7 linked regions of the Callithrix jacchus genome follow. The protein of the gene in region 3 purifies or fractionates together with the protein of the main gene of each other region. This does not show direct contact. Links are inferred from orthologs where the notes say so. Each region holds a gene or a part of one and is shown on either strand. Other genes may lie near its edges.

Region 1 (4,112 bases), on a different chromosome or scaffold from region 3:
GAGAATGGAGGCAGGAGGTATAAGTTGAAACGAGGATAGTAAACTAGGAAACTAGTCAAACAGCTTAGGTATAAAGTTTAGATTTAAAATGGTAGAATGAGGAATAGAAAAGGCTATGACAGCTATGAAGCAAGAATCAACAGGTCTTAGAGAGTCTCACCTTCATTTAACGAAGGTAATTTCCAGAAATCAAAGCTGTGCTAAACAGACTAGAGTCCTCCTACAGATGTAGAAAACCCCAGCTCACCTCATCGTAGATACTCTCAATCTCATTGAGTAAGCTCTTAGACCTCAGGACCTTGGTGTCATTCTGTTTAAAGTTGATACCCTGGTGGTCCAGAGACTTCAAGTAGTATTTCTCATTTTGTTCTCGCCATACTTTGTTAAAGCCTCTCTGAGCTTCTCGCCATTCTTCCTCTTTCATCTTCAACCTAGTGAAGTGGGAAGGGATGGAAACAACATATGGGAATTCAGAGGGTTTAGAACAAAGAAATCTGCCAGGTTTACTTTATTTCAAGAAAAGTTAAAGCTATATTAGGTCTGTCAAAATTATTGGCAACTTAGGATGAATGTTATCAAATCTGTCTTGAACTCTGTTTCATGAGGAAATTACTCATCCAAGACTTATTTTGGGGAAATGATTTATCTCAGTCAAATAATTTCCCTAGAACAGTTACTTATCAAACAGCATTCCAAGGAATACCTTTGAGATTTAAGGAAGTCTTCCTTGAAAAAAACAGTTCTCTTCTTTTGCCAGCAAAAATAAAGTTAAACATGTTTCTTTGCTGCAGGATTTTGCAAAATGTTCACAATGCTAATGAAGACATAGAAGTCCAAGAGCAGAGAACGTGCACAGTAATGTTCCTCTGGATACAGTCTGGAAAGTTCTGACCAGAACTGATTTTAATAACCCAGAAGACAACAGACTAAGACCAAAAAAACAGCACTAAAATGGAAGAATAATCAACATCTCAAAAGCCAGAGTTAAATGTTACAGGCAAAAAGAAACCATCAATCTGTGCCAGCTCTTGAGGGAAAGATGAAGGACAAATAAAATCTGGGTATTTGTCAACAATGCAGCAAACAAGAATTAATTTTTACCAGATGATACTTAGAGAGAACCAAGCTCACAGCAAAGGATTCAGTGTGGTCAAGAATGACATAGGGCTGGGCATACTGTGGCCTGTGCTATAATCCCAGCACTTTGGGGAGGCCAAAGCAGGAGGATTGCTCGAGCCCAGGAGTTAGAGGTCAGCCTGGGAAACATAGCAAGACCCTGTCTGTATTTAACAAAATTAACAATTAGCTGGGTATGTGGTGGCGCAGGCCTGTAGTCCCAGATCCCTCCTACCCTGAGGTAGGAGGATCACTTGAGCCTGGGAAGTCAAGGCTGCAGTGAGCTGTGTTCACACCACTGCATTCCAGCCTGGGTCAAAAAGTGGAGACCTTGTCTCAAAAAAAAAAAAAAAAATTAATTAAAAATAAAAAAGATTTTAAGTTAATCCTGAGTGGCAGGAACATGGGTGGCAATTATCTTTTCTTTTCTGTATTTTAAAATACTCCCTCAAACATATACACAGAGCCTTCCACCATGAACCTACAAGATTTGTTCTCTAACGTTGGTCACAAAGAACCCCCAAAAGAAGTTCCACTCTGCATGTAAATTCCAACAACCAGGGCTGGGGAGAAAGAGCGGTCTCATGGGACAACCAGGTTGAAAACAAGAGCCTTATTTAGTGGGACACTGACACAGTAGTGAAGTACACTAAAGCACCGAGGGCACATTTGCTCAGGTACCTTTTAAGGACAATTGGGACAGCGATGGAAGGATTCTTTCTCAGACCATCAATGATGTCAGCTGCTTTATCAGCATATATCCTCTGGAGTGCTTTTCTATGGATGACTTCTGATGTGCCCCCAAGGGTGTTGTCCAAGCGAAATTTGGCTTGTTCCTCAGCAGACAAGCGGGAAAGCTTCTTCTGTATTGCTTCCAGAACCCGGATTGTTGCCAGATTGGTTTCTAAAACTACATCAAGCTGAAGAGGAAGACAAAGGTATGCTTAGGACCCAAATCAGAATAGAATATAGTGGTTAGACGAATAAGGTAGGGAGTTGAACTCCTTGGATTTGAATCCTGGTTCTGCCTTACTAGCTGCATAAGGCTGTTTCCTTACCAGTAAAATAGGGATAACAGCACCTATTACTCTAATAAGCTTCTTTTTGGATTAAATGATATAATCTACATAAAGTATTTAGCACAATGCATGGCACTTTAAGAACCATAGGACTGAGTCAGTAGTCTACAAAGCAGAAAAAAAAAAGAACCATAGGATTAAGTTGGATACATGGTAGTTATTACCTCCATCACCACCAGTGTGTGCCTTGCTTAGGACTACTGATCTTGCACCAGAGGAACCTAACAGGAGATGACTTTACTGATACGTTTCTCTGAACTTTCCTGAATTGCTAAGATCCATTATGAACAAACATCATCAAAACAATCCCAAAAGACCTCTGTCTTGAGAGTTTTTAGGTTTAACTTGAAATATTTAAATATATTCAAATACTTAAATATTCAATAGCCTTGTTCTGCATCCAGTAATAGTAAAAGCAGTGACTATCATACCCTAAGGAGTTTGCTGTTGCATCTGTGGGTAATCATTTAAATTCTTATTGAACTCCTGGCAACCTTTGATTCTAGTTTTTCCCTAGCATAAAATAAGGTTCTTTAAATGAGAAACAGAAAATGAAGTAAATGGGCCAGGTGCGGTGGCTCACGTCTGTAATCCGAGTACTTTGGGAGGCCAAGGTTGGTGGATTATGAGGTTAGGAGATTAAGACGATCCTGGCCAACATGGTAAAACCCATCTCAAAATACAAAAATTAGTTGGGCATGGTGGCGCGTGCCTGTAAATCCAGCTACTCGGGAGGCTGAGGCAGGAGAATCACTTGAACCTGGGAGGCAGAGGCGACAGTGAGCTGAGATCACACCACTGCACTCCAGCCTGGTGACAGAGCTAGACTCCGTATCAAAGAAGAAGAAAAAAAAGAAGTAAATGAGCAGTCTCAAGAACCTACAGCCAAATGTTTGCAGAATTGTTCCCTACGTTTTCTTGTTTTGAGACTCTGGTAGTCATTTTGTCAATAGTTCTGGCCCCTCTTGCTCTCCAAATACAGACAAAAAGGGACTAAATTTCCTGGCTCCCTTATGAATGAATAGGGTCATGTAACTAGTTCTGGCAAATGATTTGTTATGAGTTGAGTAAAAGTAATGTTTATTACTTCTAGGCTGGAGCATTTAAAGGTAAGAGATCTTTCTGGGCTTTCTTTTCCTTCTAGTAACTGGCAACATTCATGATGGTGGCAATCCCTTGGCCTGGGTCCCCTGTGATTCAGACACGCCAAATCCCCTGCTAAACACCAACGTACACGTAGAATGATTAGAAATTAAACCCAATGGTTTTACAAGTCACTCAAATGTGGGAATTGTCTGTACTGAAGCATTACTAACCTATTTATGATTGGTAAAGCATGTTCCTTCAAACTAGCCCACCCCATCAAATCTTAAACACATGGACACCCCACACTTCTTTCATCTTTGCCCTTGTAGTCACAAATGAGAAATGAGGCTGCCTCTCATTTGCAGGCATACCAGTTGAGAAAGGATGGGAACATTCTGTCAAAAACAGATGCCAAGCTCTCCTAACTCATCAGCTAACCCTACTAAATATAAATAACAAAGAAATGTCTTCTTTAGTTTGGTAATACTCCTATGGAAGTTAAAATCTGTCATGATTTAGTTTTCTGCAAATAGCTGCAACTCCTTATAAATGCTGGGGCAAAGATGGCCAACCACCTGCCAGTGGTGAGGCAGCATGTGGCTGTTCATTAAAAACACACCAGAAACAGCTGAAGCAAGTGTGACAAGGGAAAACTGGCAAAGAGCTAAGAGTATTAAAAAAAAAAAAAAAAAACACTAGCAAGATACCTGTCCACACAAATAAGCACAGCCAGTCAATTTAATGTAACAGACACACTAAATAGGATACATGTCATTTTACCTCTTTAGAAACTAGACTTCCATTTTTGATAATGATAATGTAAACTAGACA
Region 2 (4,631 bases), on a different chromosome or scaffold from region 3:
CCTGAGGCTCTCATCGGTTGTTTCAAAGCTCAACCCTCCAATGAAGAGCTTCCTCAGCTGTTCCGGCTCTTTAGGAGACTACAGTGGGGGAGGCGGAAGTGTTAAATGAGCTGTAACACCAAACAATTTCCATCGAGGAAAATCAAAACTAGACAACTGTGTATGTAGCACTTATTGTTCGTTCAGATTGCAACAAGCCATGTGCTTCTCTCTAACAGGGGAGAAGGTATGTTGGGGGTTGGGAGTGCTGCGAAATCCAAAGCGCATGCGTCCCTAGTCGCCTTCCGACGCACGCGCAACAAAGGCTTAGGCGGGAGGGGTACATCGCCAAAATGGGACTAATCGCTCTTTTAAAAACTCGCTCACCAAAGCAAGGTTTAGAAAAGGAAAAGCCTTATGTGCGTAAGAATTTTTGCTAAGACTATAGAGTGCTGCATAATAACTCATGATTGGCGCGAGCGGCCTCATGGCGATCAACAGGACAAAATGGCGACTTGAACTTTGGGAGGGGTAGGCCGTGGCAGCAACCTAAAAAACTGTAGAATGGGCTGGTGAAAGGAACGAAACCAAGCCGCATCTTACCAATTCAGGAAAGGAAGAGGAAGAAATTCAAGTTGGAAAGAGCGCCTAACTCACCTCTGACTTAGACATGATCGCGGGGAGAAGAGAGACTTTAACGATGCTGCTTCGGCGGCGTCCACGGGCAGAAAGGAGCAAACTGACGAACGTATCTGCCAGCCTACCTTCGGCCTTTCTTTTTTACCCCGCCTCCTCCCTTTCAGCATTGGTACACTCCGCCCTTGAACAGTTCTGATTGGATGTGTGAAATCTCTTCCCCCTACTATTGGCCTGTGGTGCCACACTGCTGTGTAACGTCATTCCTTTGGGCGGTCTACGCCCTCTCCACCCCTTGGAGTTCATTGGTTCCCGAGTAATATTATTCTTAACCAGTCTGATTGGCCAGCCGATAAATCATTCATATTTGAATATACCTTGGGTGTTTAACGCCTTTTTAATCTTCCCCGCACAAATATTACGCTTGGCAAAGCATGATTAACACTATGTGTCAGAAAAGCAGTTAGCCAGCAGGTCAAAATTTTGACTGCTTGTTGAGCGCACGTGTAGTAAAATGGCGAGTTTTGCGCAGGCGCATTAAGAACTTCCAGCAGCCTCTGGGAACACGTGAAATGGCGGGCAGTACTAGGCAGTGACCCTACGGCGCCTGCGTATTGGCGGGAGTTGGTTCCAGCTTTGCGCATGCGTGGTGGGCGGAGAAAGGGTCCGTTCCCGGATTGGTTGCGCAGGCGCAGGGAAGGATCCGTTTTGGCGGGCGGTTGGCGTTGCGCAGAAGGTGGTGGCGGTGGTGGCTTGCGTTGCGGCCTCACCATACAGCAACAGGGCAGACGTTAGCGTGAGTGATCACTCTCAATCCCGGGTAAGTGGCAGACAGTCTTCTCTACCCATCGTAGGTCTCGAACTGACTCTATTTGGGCCCGTTATTGTGTGAAATGAATGGACCGCGGGGTGGGGGATAGTGAAAGGGCAGCGGTGGGTCGGGCCAACCAATAGAAGAACAGGGGGCGGGATGTTTTAATCCCTGTAGGTTCTTTGGAGCGGTGCAGCTGAAGACTTTGACTGGCTTGCGTATACGCCAATTGGGTCTGCCTTGAGCTGCCGACTGATGGGCCCTTGGGGCCATCGGAATGTGGGAGACGGGTTTCCCCTCCTGAGCTGCGTCTCACTGAGCCAGTAAGCGCGAAGCGCGCGGTAGGTTGGGCTTCTCCAGGAGGCAGCGGTTTGACTCCAATGGGGAATGCGGGAGTCGGGCGGTTAAACTGATGGACCGAATCTGGAGCCAGTAGACGGACAGCCTAAGGAAAGTGCTCGGACCAGTCGTCCAATCGACTCCAGAAGAGGGAGGTCTTCGATTTGGGGTTGTGAGGAAGGGGAGTCGGTGAATGTAATGGCGTGTGAGGGTGAATGTTTTATCCACAGTGACTTCTCTAAGGAAGCCTTTAGGCCTCTGTCCCATAAACCTCCTTGAAAGCGTAAGTTTGCTCCTGGCTGCCTCGACTTGACATTTTCCCCCCCACCTCCTCACCACTTGAGGTTTGGAGAACAGGGGAGGGTTTTGTTGTTGTTAAGTAATACTTTGAGAAGTCGCTTCTTTAGGAAGCTGTTAAAATGTTAGAACGAATAGGAAAAATCACAACATACTGTCATGGAAAGGCGTTCGAGAAATATTTCTTTCCTAATAGTGCATATTTCTGAACTAATATGTTGTAGGTCTAATAAAAAAGTTTCGGAAAGCTACACCCTAAAGTGTGTCAATCCTAGGGACACAGTAGGATCGAGGCAAGTTGGATCTTTAATGTTTAAAACTTTGCAGGGTTAATGATCTGTGATTAAAACTAAATAAAAAATGAAGTCAGTTGTTTTGTGTTTCTAGTCATAATCACATACCACCCCTTTTCTGTTTTATATAATCCATGTACCCAGTGCTTTTATTTTAGTCTCTTTCTCCCGGGAACTTTTCCCGCTCATGTTTCCCCTTTCTTCACACCATTAAAGATATCCTAAAGCCCCTCTTTTTGCTGTTCCTTTGAGAATATCTGACTTTGAAATAAAAAGGAAACTGCTTAAAGAGGGTAATATTTAGAGTTCTAGGGAAAGAAGACTCATCCATCACCTGGATTATTCCTTGCTTTTTTATTAGATTTTCTTCCAAGTGTATTTTGCATGCAGTCTATCTCCTTTTGGTAATACCCACTCTGCTTATTCCAGGATCTTTTGGAGAAATAAATCAATTTTCATAACATTGGCTGTATCAGAGTCTTACTGTTTTATTCACTGATTTATTCAGGATCGAGGGAAAATATTTACTGAAAATCAACTACCTATGAAGTACACTTACGATTAGAGACCTTTCTGACTTTACCAAAGACAAACAATTTTAGTGAAGTTTATGAACATTGGAGAGATTTCCATGTTCTCTGGCAGTAGCAAAAGGACATATTTATAATTTATATCTGACTTTAAACCTATTTGCAGGTATTCTAGTAATGGAGTTATTGAGCTGAGAACTAACTAAAGTGATACAGGTTAAGGATATCTGTCCTGGATTTATTTACGTTTGAAAGTAATACAGTCTTGAATTATAGCAAGGTTTCTCAGCCTTAGCACTGTTGATATTTTGAGGCAGACAATTATTTGTTGAGGAGGCTCAGGGTGTCCTGTGCATAGTGAAATATTTAGCAGCATCCCTGGCCTCTACCCAGTGTATTCTAGTAGCGTCACCCCACTCGCTACATCCGCATTGGTGACAATCAGAATGTCTCCAAACATTGCCAAATGTCCAGGGAGGTAGGGGCGAGGGTAGAATCTCCCAGTTGAAAACCATTGATCTAGAATACTGGAGTATGCGGGGGCACAGTTTTGTGTTCCTGTAGTCCCAGCTACTCTGGAAGCTGACACGGAGGCAGGAGGCTTGAGCTCAGGAAGTCAAGGTGTGAGATGATTATGCCTGTGAATAGCCGCTATACTCCAGTCTGGGCAGTACAGCAACACCCTATTGCTAAAACAGAAATAAAATGCTAGAGTTTATTATCTTTTCAAAATCCATTATTTTAGCAACTGGTAAGTAGGTAAAGGTGGGAGAAGATTGTTGAAGTGTTTTTGTTTTTTAAGACCAAGTTTTGCTCTTGTTGCCCAGGATGCAGTGCAATGTTATGATCTCAGCTCACTGCATCCTCTACCTCACAGGTTCAAGTGATTTTCCTGCCTCAGCCTCCCGAGTAGCTGGGATTACAGGCACGCACTACCACACCTGGCTAATTTTGTATTTTTAGTAGAGATAGGGTTTCTCCATGTTGGTCAGGCTGGTTTTGAACTCCTGACCTCAGGTGGTCCCCCCACCTCAGCTTCCCAAAGTTCTGGGATTATAGACGTGAACCACCATGCCTTGTGGATGGTTGAAGTGTTTAGGGAGTGGCCTTTGGTAAATGGATGACTAAATCCTGATGTTTATCTCCTTAGGACATAGAATTGATTATTGTCCTACTTGATAAAAGAAAAATTTCTTTAAAATTATTACCACTTCTTGGCCTGGCTGCAGTGGCTTACGTCTGTAATCCTGCCACTTTGGGAGGCTGAGGTGGGTGGATCATTTGAGGCCAGGAGTTTGAGACCAGCCTGGACAACATGGTAAAACCTATCTCTCTACTAAAAATATACTAATTAGGTGTGGTGGTGAGTGCCTGTAATCTCAGCTACTCGGGAGGCTGAGACAGGGAAATGGCTTGAACCTGGGAGGCAGAGGTTGCAGTGAGCTGAGATGGTGCCACTGCATTCCAGCCTGGGTGACAAAAAAAAAAAGTTTTTACCACTTATTGCAATTTAAACATAAGATTGATTGTTTCTTGGGCTTCCTAAAATAATGGCAAATTTGTTTTTGAAGAAGGTAGACTTTGCCTTACATGCTTCTTTTTCACTTGATTCTAGCTTCTTTCCTGGTATTCTCTTGGATCCATGTCTCAAACTTTTTTACCTCAGTAAGAAATATATTTCACTAAACAAACAAATGTGGAGTACTCTGATATTTTCTCATCTGCAGTGTACTGTTTCATTGTCTC
Region 3 (4,112 bases):
TTGAGACCAGCCTGACCAACATGGTGAAACCTCGTCTCTCCTAAAAATACAAATATTGGCCGGGCATGGTGGCGCATGCCTGTAATTGGCGTCTGGGATTACAGATGTCAGCCACTATGCCCAGCCTGTAGGTTAAATTTTTATACACATAGGACGTGCCATGGTTAAGTCATTTCTACCACTTTAAACCTAGAAAGGGTAATTTATGTTAATGTTTCCAAACGTTTTCTTTTTTTATTAATGCTCCTTTAAGAAGGGTTTTAAGAACTAGCCCTGGCCCATGAAATACCATGGATATCCTAGGTACTCTGTGCATATCTGTGCTTTACACAATCAACCAGTAAGATTTACATGTACTCTCACACATACACAAACCAATTTTCACCTCGTTAGGGGTAGTATCTCCCATGTTAAGAATGTACAGCAGGCTAGGCGCAGTGGCTCACATCTATAATCCCAGCACTTTGGGAGGCCGAGGTCAAGAGATTGAGACCATCCTGGTCAACATAGTGAAACCCCGTCTCTACTAAAAATACAAAAATTAGCTGGGCATGGTGGTGTGCGCCTGTAGTCCCAGCTACTCGGGAGGCTGAGGCAGGAGAACTGCTTGAACCCAGGAGGCGGAGGTTGCGGTGAGCCGAGATCGTGCCATTGCACTCCAGCCTGGGTAACAAGAGCGGAACTCTGTCTCAAAAACAAAAAAAAAAAACCGTACAGCAATATGGCTAGGTGTGGTGACTCACATCTGTAATATCAGCACTTTGGGAGGCTGAGGAGAGTGGATCACCTGAGGTCAGGAATTCCGAAACCAACCTTCTCCAACTTGGTGAAACCCCATCTCTACTAAAAATACAAAAATACACCACAAGCATGGTGGCGGGCCTCTGTAGTCCCAGCTACTCAGGAGGCTGAGGCAGAAGAATTGCTTAAACCTGGGAGGCAGAGGTTGCAGTGAGCTGAGATCACACCACTGCACTCCAACCCGGGAAACAGAGCAAGACTCTAAAAAATAAAATAAAATAAAGATGGTGCAGTGGCTCACCCAAGTTTGAGACTAGCCTGACCAACATGCTGAAACCCCATCTGTACTAAAAATAACAAAAATGAGCCAGGCGTGTTCGTGGGCACTTATAATCCCAGCTACTTGGGACACTGAACTAAAAGAATTGCTTGAACCTAGGAGATGGCGGTTGCAGTGAGCCGAGATCGTGCCATTGCATACAAGTCAGGATGACAGAGCGAGGCTCCATCTCAGGAACAAAAAACAGACAAACAAAAAACACTACCAATTAATGTACAGCAATAATATATATTTTTGCTTCTTTCAATTATAGAAATTTCCTCCGCCAGCATCAGATGAGAAAAGTTCATTGCAAAGGTATAGAACCAAGGATGTGTTAAGTATTTCTTCTGACATCTACAACTCTACCACTGCAAACTCGGGCTTTCCCCCAAGCTTAAATATTATTTCTAAAGTTGGAGATTACTTTATCAAACTAAATATATAACTTTTACAATTCAAAGACATGAAAGATATGACCCATACATGTTTACTTCCTTCACCTTTAAGATTCCTACCTCCTTTCTCACTGTCGTAGTGTGATGCATCAAACTGAGCATCATCATTAGGGAGTTGCACACTGGCTATCACAAGATGGTTTTGTTCATCCGATGTGTGTGTTCCCAGCACAAGTCGATGAATGCTGAAATCTTTCCCTTCTGGTCTGTAACAGCAATATACAGTCATTATTCAAATTAGTAACATCAAGAAAACACAAAGTCAACAATATACATGTTATGTAAAAGGGACTATTACAACCAGGACTTTTCGCCCGGGGCTGGAATGGAGTGGTGCAATCTTGGCTCACTGCAACCTCCAGCTCTTGGGTTCAAGCTGTTCTCAGCCTCAGCCTCCCAAGTAACTGGGACTACAGGCACCTGCCACACTTGGCCTCAAGTGATCCACTGACCTCAGCCTCCCAAGGTGCAGGGTTTACAGGCAAGAGCCACCATGCCTGGCCTTATTTTCTACTTAATTATTCTGGAGAAAAAGTAAAACGTTTAATGGAATAAAATATGAATTAACTACTCACTCACTACAATAGGTTAGAGGTTAAGAAAACCATTGTTGGGTATGCTAATGATTTTGTTTACTAAAACTTTCATTAAAAAGGAAAAAAGGGGAAAGGGTGTAAAGAAAATCCAAAGAAAAAAATGAAAAAAGGAAAAAGAGAAAATTAGATTAAGCAAACCAATTTTTCAGGTATTTACTAAATACCTAATCAACAGACACATTGCTCCAAATGCTATGGAAGTACAAAGATGATTAAGACATGAGTTTTGTCCTTTAAAAATCCTCAGCTGGCTAATCCCAGCTACTCAGGAGGCCAAGGCATAAGAATGGCTTGAACCCAGAAGGCAGAGGTTGCAGTGAGCGGACATCGTGCCACTGTACTACAGGCTGGGTGACAGAGAAAGAAAAGAGAGAAAGAGAAAATTAAAAAATTTGCCTAAGATCACACAGCTACTAAGTAACAGAAGCATACTGAAGTCCCAATCTGACTTTTGATATGGGAAAGCACACCGGGAGAGAAAGCCGATTAAAACTTACTTTTTAGTGTCCTGAATGCAATCTTAAGACATTCTGTACTCCATACTGGGCCAAGGGCATCCACACCATCTGGGAACTTATTAGAAATGCTAATTCTCCCATCTACTCCAGACCCATTGAATCAGAAACTCTAGAAGGCGGAGCACAACTATGTTTCACAATACTGCCAACTGATTATGATGCATATAAAATTTTGAGAACCCCTGGTAGAGATGGCAAAGACGCTACACAAGCAGAATTCATTGAGCTTTATAAATTGACTGCCTGTAAAATGGAGAAAGAGAAAATGGAAAACAAATGCCAATTAGGATAAAAAGAAATAGGAACAATATGAAGAGAAAGTTGGGGTAAGCTCTTCATGGAAGGAATTATTTCATTTACAATATGTCTAATTGGGGAAGCCAGTAAGATACATCAGGGAAGACAATAGCAAGCAGAAGAAAAATCAGGAAAAGCTCTGGAGAAGTTAGGTCTAAAGATACCAACAGGAATTCTGCACAGATGTGACAAGCAAAGCTTTGAGAACATCTACCATACACTGAAAAAACAGAAGTGATTGTTTCCTATGATCCGTGAAATAAATTTAAAGAGAAATGAAAAAAAAAAAAAGAGAAATGAAAAGAGGGATATGAACAGCAAATTGGAATTACCTGCATATAGAAGGCTAGAAAAAGAACAGGAAGAATGAAGGAGAGGACAACGCTACAGAACTACAATTGTAGTTTTTCTTTTTTTTTTTTTTTAAGGGGGAAATGGATATGAATAAACACCAGAAAAAGAACACACAAAGTAAACACTGCATCAGAGCTGCTTGCTTGTAATTTGTAACCCTCATCTTAAAACACAAAAATAGGGCCAGGCACTGTGGCTCATACTTGTAATCCCAGCACTTGGGGAGGTCAAAGTGGAAGGATCATTAAAGCCCAGAAGTTAAAGAACTGTCTGGGCAACACAGCAAACATTTTTTTCAAAATTTAGCCAGGCATGGTAGTGTGTGCCTGTAGTCCCAACTATTCCAGAGGCTAAGGCAGGGGGATCCCTTGGCCTAGGAGGTCAAGGCTGCAGGGAACTCTAATTGTGTCACTGCAACCCAGTCTGGACCACAGAACAAGGTCCTGTCTTTTTTTTTTTTTTTTTTTTTGAGACGGAGTTTCGCTCTTGTTACCCAGGCTGGAGTGCAATGGCGCGATCTTGGCTCACCGCAACCTCTGCCTCCTGGGTTCAGGCAATTCTCCTGCCTCAGCCTCCTGAATAGCTGGGCAGCTACTTGGGCAGGTTAATTGCTTGAACCCAGGAGGCAGAGGTTACAGTGAGCTGAGATCATGTCCCTACACTCCAGCCTGGGAACAAGAGCCTCCATCTCAAAGAAACAATTCTCATTATCTGGATTTGCTAAAGCAAAAAACTAAGATGATAGTACAGATTTCAGCCTTGGGGAATTAAGTATTTAATTCTTGCTTTCTAAACCTAGCTAGTCTTTCTATTTTTTTTATTTTTATTT
Region 4 (4,112 bases), on a different chromosome or scaffold from region 3:
CTTCTTCCTAGTCTGCATTTAGTGCAGTCTGGTGAAAGAGAGAACAAAGGCTCCAAAATTTTTCCTTAATTCGTAGAAGTCTGGAAATGCATTGCAAAATACATTTTATCTAGTACAGCTGTTTTGTAGGGAAGTAACACTCCTACTTCTACCAAAAATGTTATAACACTGAAAATTTTGATAAGAAAAATAACAGTCAATAGAGAACGGGTACACAGTCGAATTAAATGATACATAATAAAAGAAATGCAGTGAGCAAGCCACTCATTAGTGAAATATAATAACTCAGTCATAATAGGAGTTTGAGGTATTATAAGTAAATACTAAAAATTAAGAGAATGGACCAAATCCGTTGCTGACTAGATCATGCTTGCAGTTCCACCATGTTTAACTTAGTTCTTAAAAAGAAAACACCCATGCAATGGAATCGATACTGAGATTTTCACTCAGCTCTAGACCAACTCTTCTGCCTCTCAGCTATAGTCATTTTATAGCTAAAGGATTTCACATATTATACCGTTCATGGCTTATGCTAATTTTTACTATACTCTTAAGTCTTCTATATAAAGCACTCAAAAGCATAGCATATTTCACAATAACACAGAACCATGGCAGAAGTTTCCCAACATGAATAATCTGAGTCAACAAATTTAATTATAAAGATAATATGTGATAAGGTAAACTTGTCCTCTTATTCTATCTTAAAATGGGGCATTTTTGAAAAATGCTTTGATAGCAGATCAAGTTCTAAACATCCATGTGACTATGTCCTTTCACATCTCTGGGTCTACCATTACTGTTCAGCTTTCAGTGGAGTTTCTTTATCTTTTTTACTAAGCTGTGACTTCTGAAATTGTAAGGCTCCAAATTTCAAATATCTCTGTAATAACTCATAAACAGATTAGAGATAAACTACTCAGCACCTTAAAGGATCTCTGGTCAGACAACTACATCAGGATTTAAACATAAGTGTAAGAATATTTTAATGCCCTAGGGACAAGTGCTATTTAACATTTTAGCTAATAAAATGCTGAGAAGTTCACTTACATTCAAAATGAACAGACAACTGTCATTTGGTATAGAAGCCTAGGTCCTCAGAAGGGTTCCAAGATCATATAATAGTGAAGGATTAAAATGTAACTCACCTTGGAAATTTCAGCTTATTCATAACTACTGTGAAACCAAAAACTCACAGGGATCTCATTTACATAAAGATATTCACTGAGCTCCCATTAGGCATCCTGCCACTGTGCTAAATTGTGCAGATACAGTGATGAACAAGAAAAGAATACTTCTCTTTTCTCTGGAGCTTACTTTCATCACTGAATATTAACTAAATTTGGACATTATTCAGTAATAGTCTTATTCATACTTTTATTTCTTGGATGATTAGTTTGTTTACCTAAAGCATGTGAAAACCCTGTTTTCCCAGACAGATTCTCAAGAAATGCCTCAGCTGCATCAATAGAAAAATAACTTGTCCAAATGTTCTGGTAGCTAGATGTATCAGAATGTGTGTGTGTGTGTGTGTGTGTGTGCATGCATGTGGGTGTGTAGGTCCATAATGTATATATGTTCTGGCTGGTTTCCTCATGATTAAAGAAAATCATGATTTCTCAAAAAAAAAAAGCTGTAAAAAGAATGAACTATCTGATTTTTATATCACTCAATAAATGTACATGCACAATGTGCACATGCGCACATATCCACACTAGTAAAGCTCAGAAAGCAGCTGATGTCTGCGAGCCTCAGAAACAAATTAACATGCAGCTAACATCAGAGGAGCCAGAAACACTCATTGCAAGTGTGAACACATATTTGATTGCAGGACTGTGTCTTTCCCAGGGCTGACCTTATAAATTAAACAGTGTAAATCTCAAGTAAGTGTTTTCTGAACATTTTGATTCACTGTGAACATTGGGATGCCCTTCAAATTAACATTCCATGTTATTAGCCTATTGTTGGACATGAACTGCTCCATTACTGGTGACTGAAACAACATACACACTCGCACTAACACTCAGCTTTTAAAAGGAATGGAAGAAACTGTCTAAATATCCTGGGATGTAAAAATTGAAGTGAATAGATTTTTTTAGAGTGATATTGACACAGTAAGTAAAGCTTTCTACTTTGATGCCCAGAGGCATAATAATGAGAAAGTACCTAATGAGCAGTAAATAATACCTGAAAGCAGGGTACCACCACTGTTTTGATGAACTAATTCCTATTTATAACCAACTCTCAGTTTAAATGCTCCCTGCTCAGGAAGGCATTTCCTAATCCACCCTATTCGGTTATGTTATCATTATATTCAAACACACTGCCTTGTACTTCGTCTTTTTTTTTTTTTAATATTCATTCCCTATACAGACTGTCAAAAATTGTCGACGCCGACTGTATTGCAAGTCGTCATGGCGGGGTATTGGGAAAAGTTTTCAATTAGCAATAATCGTCCCTCAGATAAACATTGGCTACGATACTGCCACTGCACAAAGCTTGTACTTCATCTTTTATAACACTTACTATTCTTGTAACCATCTAAGTGTCTCATCTTCCCTATTAAACTGTACGTTCCATGAGGTCACTGACTATGTTTTCTCTTGCATATTCAATGCCTCATACAATAGGATTTTTGAAATTAATTAATTAAGGAATGGGTACATAAATGAAATAAAAATGCATATCCTATACTTATCTTAAATTATAAAATATTAACTGAGAAAGTTAATGTTTATAAAGAGAATAGGGTGAACACAGAAGGAAAACACAAACATGTCCCACATCCATTCCAGAATCTTGAATAACTTAAGCAGTTTTACCTGCTTGGAGGGGCAAGTGTACATCCCAAATCACAAATATTACAAAAATTCTCATCTTTAGATTACTGTTTGCATACCAAATAAGGATGTTGCAGGATTATTCAAAGCTAGAAGAATATATAATCTCATTTTAAAATAAAAATGAGCAACGCTTTCTCAAAATTTTTTCTCAGAATAGAGAATAGGATATATTTATAATAGAATCTCTAACTTGGGAGCTGCTCTGTCAAAAAATATAGCATGTGGAGTCACATTTAATAAGGACAAATAAATAGACTATGGTAAATTGGTAAACTCATCAGCATTATTAGAATCACTGTGAATTTAAAAATACAATCAGTAAATGGTATAAAACAAGTATGAAACACAAGAGCATAGTCCTAAAGAAGGAACCAAATAAAAATCTATAGTGATCACAGCTATAACTATATCACCTGCAAATCTCTGATGATCTTCTATGTGGTCTTCTCTTATAACTTCCCCAAGTCATCAGAATCACTCCCAACAGCTCCTAGTTCAGCCACCTTTCTGTGGATTTCTTCTATTATTTTGTTTCTATATCCCTCCCACCCTCCTATGACTTACCTGTAGTGTCGGGAAATCTCTTCTTCCACCTGGGTAATAAAATCACATTTGGTACATGAGTGTTCTTTGCTTTCCTTGACAGCCTGCTGCCCATCTGATCCTTGCAGGTGATTTGCTTCTTGTTTGACATCCGACGCTTGGGACTCATGCACGCTCTCATAGTGAAAGAGGAGTATGTCTACATCAGGGGTGGTGAATGAACACTGGTGGCACTGGTGTTTGACTCTCGAGCTTCCGGCCGCCCCAGGAGACAAATGCAGAAGCAAGAGCGCACAGTGGGAACAATTACTTTTTCTACAAGCAAAGGGATAAGTAATTTCTCCAAGGTGCTTTTCTGGGCTGCAAAGTCCTCTGGGACAGAATGGACAGTGTTTAATGGTACACTTGTGAATGTTATGGAGCTGTTGATAATGACGGAGAAGTGGCCCCACTACAATTACATCGGAGCCATGGCTTTTGGAATATCGGAAGTCACAGAACTGACAATTATAGCTCGTTACCATATTATCCTCAGCTCCCTTGCTGGAGAAGTCCTTCTTTTTAGCCCCACTCGAACTCTTGTCTGCCTTGATCATTGTCTCTCCTTCTGAACTTTTGGCTAGATCATTCTGATTAATGACAGAGCCCCTGGAAAGCTTATCATTCAACTCTGGATTAAGGCCGCCTGACTGCACTGCTCCATGCTGCTTGCCATAATGTTCTAGCAGT
Region 5 (3,847 bases), on a different chromosome or scaffold from region 3:
GATTGCAAATCCCTGAGCTCATGGCTTGGGTTCTCATGGACCATGAGGCTGCCTGTGGAGTTTGGAGCCATTTGTGCCCCCGGCCCTTGCAGGCTAGCTGAGCAGGGAGGGTCCAGTGAGTGGGGTGTTGGGCGGCCGCTGCCAGGCCTGCTGTGAGGGCACTGGTCTGAGGCAGGTGCTGTCCATCTAGCGAGCTGCACACAGAAGGGGGAATGCTGCCCTCTTGTAACTGCACACCCCAGCTCCTCCTCATGGTCAGGTAGCTGTAGCCCTCTAAGTGGGTTTTAAGGCAGCTCATCCACTTATCCGTTAACAGTGTTTATCATCAGTCCCTCAAGCGGTCAGGGTCACAGCTATTGTGTTATTACAGATATGTGGCCCACCTCTTCCGAGGACACCTTTAACTTCTTTGTGATGGGAGCCAGCTGTCACTGTTTTCCACCCTCATCTCCGGGGCTTTCCAGAGGGCTGGGGATCACACCCTCAGAAGTTCCCTTCCATGGCTGGCTTCCTCCCTGCTGGGCTTAGTGTGGTTCCCAGACACCCCTGGCCCAGAGAGATGCTCGTGAGATGCACGTTTGCTACTCCTCCCCTTGTTCTTTTCAAAAAATGGGATGATAGGATGTACTGTGTGAAAGTTACACAGTTTTGGTGCCGACAGATAACCGATTCTCTCGGGTGAATTGCAGGGATGCCGTTTTTGTTTGCTGCAGATAACAGAAGAGGAAGTAGTAGAAATATGTATAGGTGACAAGTGTTTGCATTTATTTGCATGAGCAGGTTAAGTGGCTGGTAGCTAAAGTGAGTCAAGCAGCTTGGTTATTTGTGTCACCATCCAGGACGCAACAAACCCCCGGGGGTCTCTTTGCTGAGTGCTCCCCTGCCAGCCTTGCCCTTATGAGCTGGTTAACCCACCTCGGAAACCATAGTGGACACCAGGGTGGTGGTGGCGAGGATGAAAGGGCCGTGCATGCAATGTGGCATCCGGCGGAGCTGAGAAAGGGAGATGTGCTGCCTCTTGAGCCTCTTCGGGGCATTTTAAAAGCTGTTAGTTGGTGTGGTGGAGGGGACCCCTGGCCACTGATCTCTGCCCTAGACCTGCCCCTGCGTGACTCTCAGGGACAGAGCTCTTGTTATTAATTCTGTGTCTTCCTCTCACCCCCAAACAGGAACAGATTATCAGTCTGGTCAATCAGATCTGCGGCAAAGTGTCTGGTAAAAACGGCAGCATTGAGAACTGTCTCAGTAAACCCACACCAAAAAGAGGCCCCCGAAAGAGAGCCACGGTGGACGTGCCCCCCTCCCGGCTGTCAGCCTCCGGTTCATCCAAAAGTGCTTCGAGCTCATCATGAAGATGCCAACGCCCGTGGTTGATTTATATATATTTTTTTGTAATTATTATATTCTAGTTTGGAGTACTTGCTGTAGGATTCAAGCTGTCTTTGCACTAGCTCTAAAGAAGATTTTCTTCTGGTTTTAGAGAACTAATTTTGTTTTAGCATTAAACTGTTGAACTTTTTTTTGTACTTAGAAAACCTAGATACTGCAGTCAGATTTTGGAAACTGCCGTATAGTCACTGTTTTAAAAACCCTTGAGGGGCTGTATTAATTTGTATTGCCCCTGGCTGACAAAAGCCTTTTTTGTTTCTTTTTTTTTTTTTTGTAACTGTTGGGGGAAAAAAGGCTTTTTAACCCATTTTTGAAGAGGGTGAAGTTTGGAGAACAAATTTAAAAACCATCAGTCATGTGAGCAGATTTTTTAGAAGGGATAGGAGACACGCACGCGCGCGTGTACACACACACACACACACACAAAACTTGAAAAGAAATGGCTTTGCTTTGGCTGTCGTTGTCTGCCGTGGCCAGATGAGCTTGTGAGCTGGGAAGCCAGGGCACCCCCGTTTTGTTTCTCTGGGCGGTTGTGGCAGCTGAAGGCAGACGTTGTTTCCTGACCACAGGCGGAACGAGGAGCCGGGAGCGAGTGGGCTCTCCACCAGCACATCACTATGCATCTGTTCAAGGAAGGAAGGAACGCCAGCAAGGAAGACGGAAGAGACTGCCTGCCTTGGAGGGGTCACGTGAGGGAGACCTGTGCCTGATTTCATTAGGAAATCCATTCTGTTATTTTTTGGTGCTGTTGGCTACTTTATCAAAAAACCCTTCAATAGCATCCTTAAGATATTAAAAAAAAAAAAAAAAAAAAAAAAAAAAAGTGATGGAAGCCGTAAGTGCTTCTTGGTCATCGACGTGCAATCTTCTAACATTCCATCACCATCTCACCGCTTCTTGTTTGACACCTTCACAAGTCAGCATTAATCTTGCTTTTTAAATTTTTCATTTATGATCACCCATAGAGAGCCACTAGGAGGCCTGCAGTTCTTTTTGAATGTGAAAATGCATTTGCGCTCATCTTGTCTATTTTTTCTCTTCATGTTGTAACAAAAAGGAAAAAAAAGAAAAAAAAAAAATCCCATCCCTTTTGTACATACGCCTGTAAATTGTTTTAAATACTTGAGCCTTTTTCTCGGTGGGGGGTGGGGAGGGGGAGAGAAGACAAGATGAAGAAAAGCCTTACATTTCAGTTTCTTCATCGGTTGGATTGGATGCTTACAGGGTTTTTCTTGTAACATTTATAAGTGCTGCTTACATCACTGAACAACAACAACAAAATAATGGAGTAGCTGTTGCCCTTCTCCAGTTGTGTGTACAGTATGTGTGGAATAAAAAAGGGAAACTTTTCACAAGCTGTTCTTTGTTTCATAATTGGATCCATCAATCCGTAGCTACCCATGTTGCACTGAGCTTGCCAGTGGTGACTGCCAGGAGCGTCCTCTGATCCACTTTGTTGGTTGTTGTTGCAGAAGACTGAACTGTTTTGGAATATTTAACAATTACAGAACCAGAGTCGTGTTTTCCAATGTGGTTGTCCGGTTTCTATGGCCTTGCTGTGTACTTTCCCTCTTTTTGACAGTAAACTTCTGCCTATGGCTTACAGTTTGACATTTAATTTATTAGCGCTGCTCTGCACCCTCCCTTGGGGGGAGACTTCATGTGGTTTATTGCGAGTTTTTTGTTTACTTTTCAGGTTTGTACTACAAGGTTTAATAATAAAATCAACGTTTTTTGGACATTTGTCTGTCTTGTGGAAGATGACTGAATGGAATGAGCTCTCTCTCTTCTCATCCATGGGCAGGGGTGCAGAGGATCTCTCATGCTGCAGTCCTGCCCCTCCAGCTCCCACCTGCTGGTGGCGGGGGGGGGGTCCCCTTTCAGCAGAACCTAATGGTTTCCATGTGGCCCAGCCCGCGGGGCCAGAGCTGGCCACAGGCTGCAGCCATTCCACCTCATCTCCCATTGAGCGTGGCACCCCTGCTGAGCTTCCATGATGAGATGACACTGGGCACATTGAGGGTGTTATGGCTCATCTCAATGGGGCATCTGTCCTCCCTCTCGTTGGGCTGGAGGAGTGATAGACGGAACATATCACCAGGGGACCAGTTTCTTTTCAGGAGAAAGCAGGTATGGAGGATTGCTTTGGGCTTCTGTTCTTTTGGGCCCTGGGGTGTGAAAGTAGGGTTTGGACAGGTTGGCTATCATACTGATCAAAGGAAAACCCCCTATGAAATGGCTGTTCCCTGCCTCACGCAGAAGTGAGCCCGGTGTAGCCTCCACAGCCTGGCCCAGGCCCTGCCCCCATGCTACCTCCTGGGGCAGCCCCCAGTGACCTGCCCCCTTACAGTGGCCTTAAGGAGGCCTGTATTTAGAAAAGTTTGTCTACAAACTAGCTCCATTTACCGTTTCATGTCCTCACCTTTATTGTTTGCCGTTCTTTCAGTTTCTCATGAAT
Region 6 (2,826 bases), on a different chromosome or scaffold from region 3:
ATAATTACTAGTTGAAGAATTGCATTAGTGATACTTACTTTTTTAAAAATGGGAAACAGCCGGAGGGGATGGATTGAATGTGAAAAACTAGGAGCTGTGACAATAAAAGTCCAGAAATTGATCCTGAGACAGAGGCTGATCATAACACAGGATCAGCAGCAGCTACTACATCACATTTTGGAGTTTCTTTTTCCTAAATTAAACTTTATGACCAGACGTCTAATGGCAAAACACCAACAAAAAAATACATATTTTATAGCATTTTAATCATAGATAAGCATATGCTTTTCTGAATCTTAATATTACAGACTAGTACACATGATAGAAATACTAAAGTTTTGAAAGTAAATGTACTAAATCATAGTTTTAAAATAAAGATTTTCTAGGCCGGGCATGGTGGCTCATGCCTGTAATCCCAGCACTTTGGGAGGCTGAAGTGGGCGAATCACCTGAGGTCAGGAGTTCAAAACCAGCCTGGCAAAACCCTGTCTCTACTAAAAATTAAAAAATGACTTGAGCCTGGTGGCACCTGCCTGTAATCCCAGCTACTCAGGAGGCTAAGGCAGGAGAATCACTTGAACCTGGGAGGCAGAGGTTGCAGTAAGCCAAGACCATCACTGCACTCTAACCTGGGTGACAGAGAGAGACTCCATATCAAAAACTAAAAATTTAAAAAAAGATTTTCTATTTAGAATTCCAAAACTTATACAGTACATTGTAATCAGAGTACAACATACATGCATATATTTTTTAATTAAGTATAACTTAACTGTCTTGAACATCTAAATACACCCCCAAAAGTGCTGGGATTACAGGTATGAGCCAGTGCACTTGGCCCACTCAATATCTACTAATGTAAACCTATTCAAATCTTTCTTAGAAGTGGACAGGTTATAAAAAGAACTAAATACACATAAGTAATCCAAGACACTACAAATCACACTCAAACACATCTTTTTATTATATACTAAATTTAAAAATACAAATCTTATTAAAAATGCTTATCAAACATTGTATACATAAGTACTGTCAAATACTATTGGGTTATGACATTATGTACATTTGTTAAGGTTAATTAGAAACAGAATAAAGTAATATAACTTTGCTGATACTGAATTTCAGAAGTTAAGTGTTTTAAAATTTGGCAACTGTGAAGTAGTGATCTGCACAGGATGTTTGCAGAGGTAAAATAATTTAAAAAAAGGAATAATGCAGATATTCCTGCAGTAAGTGTTAATAAGTAGATTTCTTCTTCATCCTCTTAACTCCCAATGTAACAGAAATTAAAGTGCACATGACCACCAGGAATACTTGATTTGGTTGTACCCTAAATATATACAACAGCCAATTGTGCTGCTATATTGAGGGCTTTATTCTTTTTACTGTTCCTGAGGTTTTGGAAGTTAATTTTAAATGTGGCTAAGGGAAGGGAGGCTAACACTTTCTAAATTGCACCAAATGGCCTTAAAGTGTAGAAATACCAAAGACAAAAATATTAATTTGGAAATAGATTCAAGGAAATGATCCCTATTTTCCCTAGGAATAAAATTAGAATAAGGGTGTAGTTTTACCTCTGGAAAATGCTTACTAAAATCTGTTTCAAAAGATCAGACATGTACAGCAAGCACCACAATACTGTCAGTTACTGTTCACCACTTATACACTGCATCATAAATACCAGGTATAAATACCTGCCTCTAAAGGGTCACCAGAAATACAGGTAGAAGCATGTTATCACTTGACACTAATTTTACTCATTAAGTACAATTTGTAAAAATAGGTCACCACCCCACCATACAATCAAGGAGAGGAAAAGAAAAGTTGCTATTCTACAAAAGTGCTCCTTTCAGCTTTCAAACCCAATAGCTTAATTTTGGGTAAAACAAGATTGTAAGGTAAGGCCATCAGTTCTAAATAAGGTGATGATGCTATATATACATCCTCATATATATATGTGTGTGTGTATATGTGTGTGTGTGTGTATGTGTGTGTGTGTGTGTGTATACTCATATATATATATGTTTAAATTTCAGTTCTGATTTAACATTAATGTACTAGTACAAACCATTTATAGGAAACATTTTATGTCTTATTTACAAACACACAATGAATGACAAAGATATGGAAAATTTTTTAAATTGCAGATAAATGTAGTCATAGTTTACTAAAGACAAATTTGCATAACTTTTTTAAAAACCAAAGAAAAATGCTTAGAAAGAAACCCCTACCATATACAGTATACTTATTGGTCATCAGACCTAAGAGGCAAATCAATATAAGGATCATGATAAAATTTTTGTTTTCTTTTAATAACATATCAATGAGATCTACTTAAGAGTACTACCTACAATACACATTCTCTCATGATTCAGCGAGAATATTAAATTATTGAATACATTTTTTTACTCTCATGGCACATTACGCTTGGTAACACTAATAAGGTAAATTTAGATAACACTTAAATCATGATTACGAATGTTTAATTGAATATTTTCCTTTCTGCAGCTGTGAAATGTAAAGCTTAGATTTGCTTCCATCAGGCCTCTTAAACCAAACTTCATCATGGTTAATTGTTGTAATTACAGCACTAAAAAGAAAAAAAAAGAATGAATGAATGAATTACAATATGTCTCCTCAATTCATTTTAGATTACCTATAAAACCAAAATAACCTGGCCTACAACAGTAGACTCAGTATGTACATAATTGTCTTTAGCAGAATGCTGCATATCAGCAGTGCGTGCTGCCAAAAATAGCACATTCAACAACACTTCTTAATAGAGTTGGTAAAATTTACTTTCCATTTGAACTATTAAATGCACGTCCT
Region 7 (4,642 bases), on a different chromosome or scaffold from region 3:
GTATTAAAAAGCTTCCCCTACTTTCCAAGTCTCTGGCTAACTCCAACGTAAACTCCATGACATTACACCAAAACTAAAATGCAAAAAGTACCACATTTCACAAACACTAAAGGAACACCACAAAAATCTACAGGTGAATAAGTGTGTAAAGATGATCTAAAAAATCCTTCTGAATGGCACTTTCGTAGGTGCAAAGGAATACAATGATGTGCGTCTATGTGCGTGAATTTTGAAGAAAAAAAACAGCTAAAAAATATCCTTGGAGACTACAGTACCTTCATAGAATAGGTACAGATCAAAGTACATGCATAATCAGTGTTACAAGCCTTAAATAGAGGAACTCTGCAAGATTCCTATTTCCCAATTGTTGCAGGTTAACTGAAATTCATTTTACATCTTTCTTATAAAAGCAACGAATTCAAAGCATTTGTTCCGTCTTTCCATATTCACTCTGAAATGAAGCCTACTTAGAAACATGTTCTCCAAGTTCTCTACAAACTCAAAGGGTACATTTAACTCCATTATGCACTCTCACTGGCAGATGGAAGGATGACGTTGAGCCTGTTCTCAGGGAGTTAAAGAGATGCTCCGTAGTAAAGGGGAACATCTTGTGGGCTGTCAGATGGCCAGCCATTCTTCATCTTCATTATTCCAGCAAAGAAAAGGTCCTCGCCCATCAGGATAACACCATTAAACTAACTGTAAGAAGAGAATGAAGGGGATGATGGAAGAAGTCTCCCTGAACTTCTCTGACAAAGGGGCTGGTCCACAACTGAATGAACTGAAGAATCCGGAAAGCTTTTAAATAAAAATCTTGATCTCCAAATGTGTTTAAAAGTGTAAAAAGACAAACACAAAAACACCAAAGCTAATGCACATTTTAAACTTTTGTATAATCAGTTCATGTTCGTAGTTCCTGACTGGAACTCTTTCAACTTCTAACGTTGATTTTCAGGTACATAACTCCACAAAATTGTTTATCTTTTTTCTTCCTCCTAAAATGATAAAGTGAATGCAAACTACAAAGAACATGACCCTGTTCTCACAACCTGAAAATCCAGAGTTTCAGACATTTTGGTCTCACACCAAAACTGGAAGATGTGAGATGAACTGCACTCCATATTGATTCTTACAGCAAATAAGAAAAAGCAGGGGGAAAAAGCTAAGAAGGGTAGGTAAGACAAAACAATTGTTAAACTTCGCTTCTAATCTGAAATCTTGGACCTCGCACACACAAAAATCAAGTTTTTACATCCTATTTAACAGAAAATATTCTGCAAAGGAGAGAAAATTTTGAAAAGGGTGGAAAGTAGAGAAAATAGAGTAAGTACAATGAGGAGAAAGGATTCGAAATTCTTCATTTACCAAGAACAAAAAAAATTAAAACTTAAATTGCATAGAAGCTCTTACTCATAAATGCACTGGCATTTCCCAAATTAAACTGCACGGGAGCAACAATACAGGCCATTTCTATACAGCACCCACTTACGAGCTCTAATTCCAGAACACACACCGATATGACACAGTGTTGCAACCAATGTATTAGGAGGCAAAGAAAATGGTTGGGCTACTGGACGTCTTCGATCAGCTCATTCAAATACCTTTAAAATTAATTAAGGGACAGGGAGAGAGGAAAAAAAAAAAATGGAATAAAGGAGCACCGAGTAGAAAAGATTAAGAGGAACGTGGAAGGCCGGGGCTGCCGAAACTAACCTGTGCCATCGCTGGCCGACGCCGAGAGGGCCGGAGATGAGAGTTTAGGCCGCTTGGCTGAAGGCGGCCCCGGTTCCACCACATTCTCGGCCATTTTTAATTCTTTCGGAGATACAGGCGAGGAAAACCAGAATCCTCAGGAAATCTCTTCGGCCCGGGGTCCCCGCCCCGCACCCAGGGGTGGGCTGGGGGGCTCCGACGGCACCCGAGGGGGTGGGGGAAGTTCCTTTTTCTCTTCGCCGGGTCGCAGTGGCTGGAGAGGGATGCGGACTCGATAGAAAAGGTAGGGGCAAGTGCTAGGGGCCGGGCCTGGGCCCAAGCCCGGAGGAGGGCACAGGAGCACAAATTCACCGAGCGCGTCTGCTGCGGCGAATTCCCGAGAACTCGCGGCTCTAGAGGCGCAGTCCCCGGCCCGCCACGGCCGGCCCCTGCCCAGCCGAGGTCTCTCGGAGCTCCGCCGCCGCCATCAGCCTCTTCCTCCTCGGCGCTGTCCTCCTCCTTCTCATCGCCACAAGGAGGCGGGGGCGAAAAGGGGGGAGAGGAGGAGGCGACGAGAGACACTCACCTCCTCCCGGTGCCCCCTCCCGGGCCTGCGCCCCCACCCTCCGAACCCTCCTCCTGCCGCTGCCGCCGCCGCACCGGCCCCTAATGGCCGCAGAGAGCTCAACCGAGCCGAGAGCCAGGCTGGCGCCGCCGCCTCACATCGCACGGCGGCCGGCGGAGGCGCGGCAAGAACGCCAGGCGCGGAGCTGGCCGGCCCAGAGGACCGAGGGGGCCGGGCCGAGCAGCGCCGCCCGCCCGCGCCGACGCCAAACCCACCGAGGAGGCCCCGCTCCGGCGGCGGCGCAGGCGGCCCCTCCTCGCGCCGCGCTTCTCTCCTTCGCCCTCCTCTCGCGCGGAAAATAAATAAATACGGCCGCCGCTACGGTCCCCTCCGCCGGCGGCCAGGTGCTGGGAGAGCCCGCCCCCCCGGGGCTCCGCTCGGGGCCGACCGCGACGGCGGGCGAAGGCGCCGCGGGGCGCGGGGTTATGTAATGGTCCCCCCTAGGCGTCGACGCCGGCCCCGCTCCCGGGCCGCGGTGGGGGTGTGTGCGGACGGGAGGGGGCTAGGGGTCGCCTCAACCCGTGCGCCCCAGGCCCCCTGCCACTGTCTCGGCCCCAGCCGCCTCTCTCCGTCCCGGATCCCCTCCGCACTCTCTGGCTCCCGCAGTTCGCACTCAGCTCGGCGTCCCGCTTGCCCACTCTCGCCCGCTCCCTCTCGCCTCTCTCCCCCCCAACCTAGCACACAAACAAGATGGCGGCTGTTGTTTCTTCCCTCTGCCGAATCCTCCTTACAGGCTAGCGGTAGCGGCGGCGGCCGGAAATGAGCCAAAGGAGGGGGGTGAAAAAGGGGAGGGGCCGGGCCTCCGAAGGGAGGCGGGGCCTAGGCCCGAGCCGCTCACACAATGGGGGAAGTGGCGCCGGGGGCGGGGCCGGTTCCAATCACGGGATCCGCCCTAGTCCCCAACGCGGTTAGCGCTTCCGCAAACTCCCCCGGCGACACCCTGTGGCTCCCTTTAAAGGGGAGGATTTTTAAGAGGGGAGAGGATTTTAAGGGGGGAGGGGTGGGGGCGGACTCAATCTATTTTCTGTCGGTCGATAGTTACGAGGGAAGGTTCCTGGCTTTGGTCTCTTGTAGGGGACCGGTGGGAACCTGGGCGACTGAGCCCGGGAGCTGCGCCGAGGAAGACGCCAAGTCGCCACTTAGATGGCCAAAGGGGAGCGCCCGTGGGGCGGCCCTGCTTCCTGGCCTTTGAGTGGCGGGTCCCCCAAACCCCGGTCGAATCCATAAGCCAGGGTGTACCCACTGCCGAATACCCAGTGCATCCTCACTTCTCCATTGGCTTCCCAAAGGGAGTAGTTCACATCCAAAAAGCACGTTGATTACGAGTTGTTTTCAATTTCCTCTGAATTTTCCTTTTTTTTTTTTTTTCCACAACGAGCATATATTACTTTGACCAGAAAACAAAAATCACAGCAGTGGGAAGGAAGATGTTTCGGCACCAGACCCAACATTTCTTGCCCTCCACGTGTGTCCGTCCATACGCCCCTACCAGGTAGCACTCTCACCACAGAAGTCTTTCTTTTCTGAACACGCCTGGGACCTGAAGACATTTTTAGGTTTCTTTTTTCTTTTTTTTTTCCGTCTGCTCCCAATAGATCAAATTAATAAAAGACCACGTCAAGCCAGTGCCTTATCTAATGTAATTATGGGAAAAAGCAAAAATGTGGTAAAGGTAAGGATGGAAAAAAGCAAAAATGTAACGGGGGGAAAGTCCAGTGTGTGGGACCCAGCAGTTTTGCAGCTGAGGTCGGAGACATGCTTTCGGGTTTCTACACATTACCCTGTGTTTTGACCTTGTGTAAATTGTTACTGGAGAAGGTGGTATGGGTGTAAGTGACCCCCAAAGAAACTCACAAACTATTATCTATTGATATGGTTTAAAGCTTTTTCTCAAGCTGGGCTCAGTGGCTCACACCTGTAATCCCAGGAACTTTAGGAGTCCAAGACAGGTGGATCACGAGGTTGGGATTTGAAGACCAGCCTGGGCAAGATGATGAAAAGCCACCTCTACTAAAATACAAAAATTAGCCTGGTGTGGTGGCACGCACCTGTAATACCAGCTACTCAGAGGCTGAGGCAGGAGAATCGCTTGAACCCAGATGGCAGAGGTTGCAGTGAGTTGAGATCCTGTCACTGCCACACACTCCAGCCTGAGCGACAGAGCAAGACTCCCTCTCAAAAAAAAAAAAAAAAAAAAGTTCGCGATGGCTCACGCCTGCAATCCCACCCCTTGGAAGGCTGAGGCGGGTGGATCGCCTGAGGAGGGGGAGTTCGAGACCAGCCTGGCCAACATGGTGAAAACCCGTTTCTACTAAAAATACCAAA

What was found.
Region 1: the proteins of RBBP4 (region 3) and SIN3A purify together in Homo sapiens (affinity purification with mass spectrometry; 11 studies listed by BioGRID and IntAct, with this or other methods). This does not show direct contact. The link is inferred for Callithrix jacchus from reciprocal best matches to the Homo sapiens genes RBBP4 and SIN3A.
Region 2: the proteins of RBBP4 (region 3) and CBX5 purify together in Homo sapiens (affinity purification with mass spectrometry; 6 studies listed by BioGRID and IntAct, with this or other methods). This does not show direct contact. The link is inferred for Callithrix jacchus from reciprocal best matches to the Homo sapiens genes RBBP4 and CBX5.
Region 4: the proteins of RBBP4 (region 3) and TRPS1 purify together in Homo sapiens (co-immunoprecipitation; 3 studies listed by BioGRID and IntAct, with this or other methods). This does not show direct contact. The link is inferred for Callithrix jacchus from reciprocal best matches to the Homo sapiens genes RBBP4 and TRPS1.
Region 5: the proteins of RBBP4 (region 3) and JARID2 purify together in Homo sapiens (affinity purification with mass spectrometry; 3 studies listed by BioGRID and IntAct, with this or other methods). This does not show direct contact. The link is inferred for Callithrix jacchus from reciprocal best matches to the Homo sapiens genes RBBP4 and JARID2.
Region 6: the proteins of RBBP4 (region 3) and BRMS1L purify together in Homo sapiens (affinity purification with mass spectrometry; 5 studies listed by BioGRID and IntAct, with this or other methods). This does not show direct contact. The link is inferred for Callithrix jacchus from reciprocal best matches to the Homo sapiens genes RBBP4 and BRMS1L.
Region 7: the proteins of RBBP4 (region 3) and EP300 purify together in Homo sapiens (affinity purification with mass spectrometry; 4 studies listed by BioGRID, with this or other methods). This does not show direct contact. The link is inferred for Callithrix jacchus from reciprocal best matches to the Homo sapiens genes RBBP4 and EP300.

The regions. Positions count from the first base shown.
Region 1 is NC_133509.1:22,463,438-22,467,549, reverse strand, and holds part of SIN3A (paired amphipathic helix protein Sin3a), read right to left. Parts: intron 2,037-4,112; coding exon 1,798-2,036; intron 432-1,797; coding exon 248-431; intron 1-247. UniProt on the Homo sapiens protein: Acts as a transcriptional repressor. Corepressor for REST. Interacts with MXI1 to repress MYC responsive genes and antagonize MYC oncogenic activities. Also interacts with MXD1-MAX heterodimers to repress transcription by tethering SIN3A to DNA.
Region 2 is NC_133510.1:65,270,089-65,274,719, forward strand, and holds the start of CBX5 (chromobox protein homolog 5), read left to right. Parts: upstream 1-1,320; 5' UTR 1,321-1,435; intron 1,436-4,631. Other genes in the region: HNRNPA1 (heterogeneous nuclear ribonucleoprotein A1), read right to left, coding at 1-78, 637-651. UniProt on the Homo sapiens protein: Component of heterochromatin that recognizes and binds histone H3 tails methylated at 'Lys-9' (H3K9me), leading to epigenetic repression. In contrast, it is excluded from chromatin when 'Tyr-41' of histone H3 is phosphorylated (H3Y41ph).
Region 3 is NC_133508.1:69,245,467-69,249,578, reverse strand, and holds part of RBBP4 (histone-binding protein RBBP4), read right to left. Parts: intron 1,725-4,112; coding exon 1,579-1,724; intron 1-1,578. UniProt on the Homo sapiens protein: Core histone-binding subunit that may target chromatin assembly factors, chromatin remodeling factors and histone deacetylases to their histone substrates in a manner that is regulated by nucleosomal DNA.
Region 4 is NC_133517.1:81,803,899-81,808,010, reverse strand, and holds part of TRPS1 (zinc finger transcription factor Trps1), read right to left. Parts: coding exon 3,405-4,112; intron 2,498-3,404; exon of another isoform or gene 2,360-2,497; intron 1-2,359. UniProt on the Homo sapiens protein: Transcriptional repressor. Binds specifically to GATA sequences and represses expression of GATA-regulated genes at selected sites and stages in vertebrate development. Regulates chondrocyte proliferation and differentiation.
Region 5 is NC_133505.1:15,205,778-15,209,624, reverse strand, and holds the end of JARID2 (protein Jumonji), read left to right. Parts: intron 1-1,169; coding exon 1,170-1,352; 3' UTR 1,353-3,128; downstream 3,129-3,847.
Region 6 is NC_133509.1:70,446,880-70,449,705, reverse strand, and holds the end of BRMS1L (breast cancer metastasis-suppressor 1-like protein), read right to left. Parts: intron 2,588-2,826; coding exon 2,470-2,587; 3' UTR 938-2,469; downstream 1-937. UniProt on the Homo sapiens protein: Involved in the histone deacetylase (HDAC1)-dependent transcriptional repression activity. When overexpressed in lung cancer cell line that lacks p53/TP53 expression, inhibits cell growth.
Region 7 is NC_133502.1:191,898,044-191,902,685, reverse strand, and holds the start of EP300 (histone acetyltransferase p300), read right to left. Parts: upstream 3,033-4,642; 5' UTR 1,808-3,032; coding exon 1,714-1,807; intron 1-1,713. UniProt on the Homo sapiens protein: Functions as a histone acetyltransferase and regulates transcription via chromatin remodeling. Acetylates all four core histones in nucleosomes. Histone acetylation gives an epigenetic tag for transcriptional activation.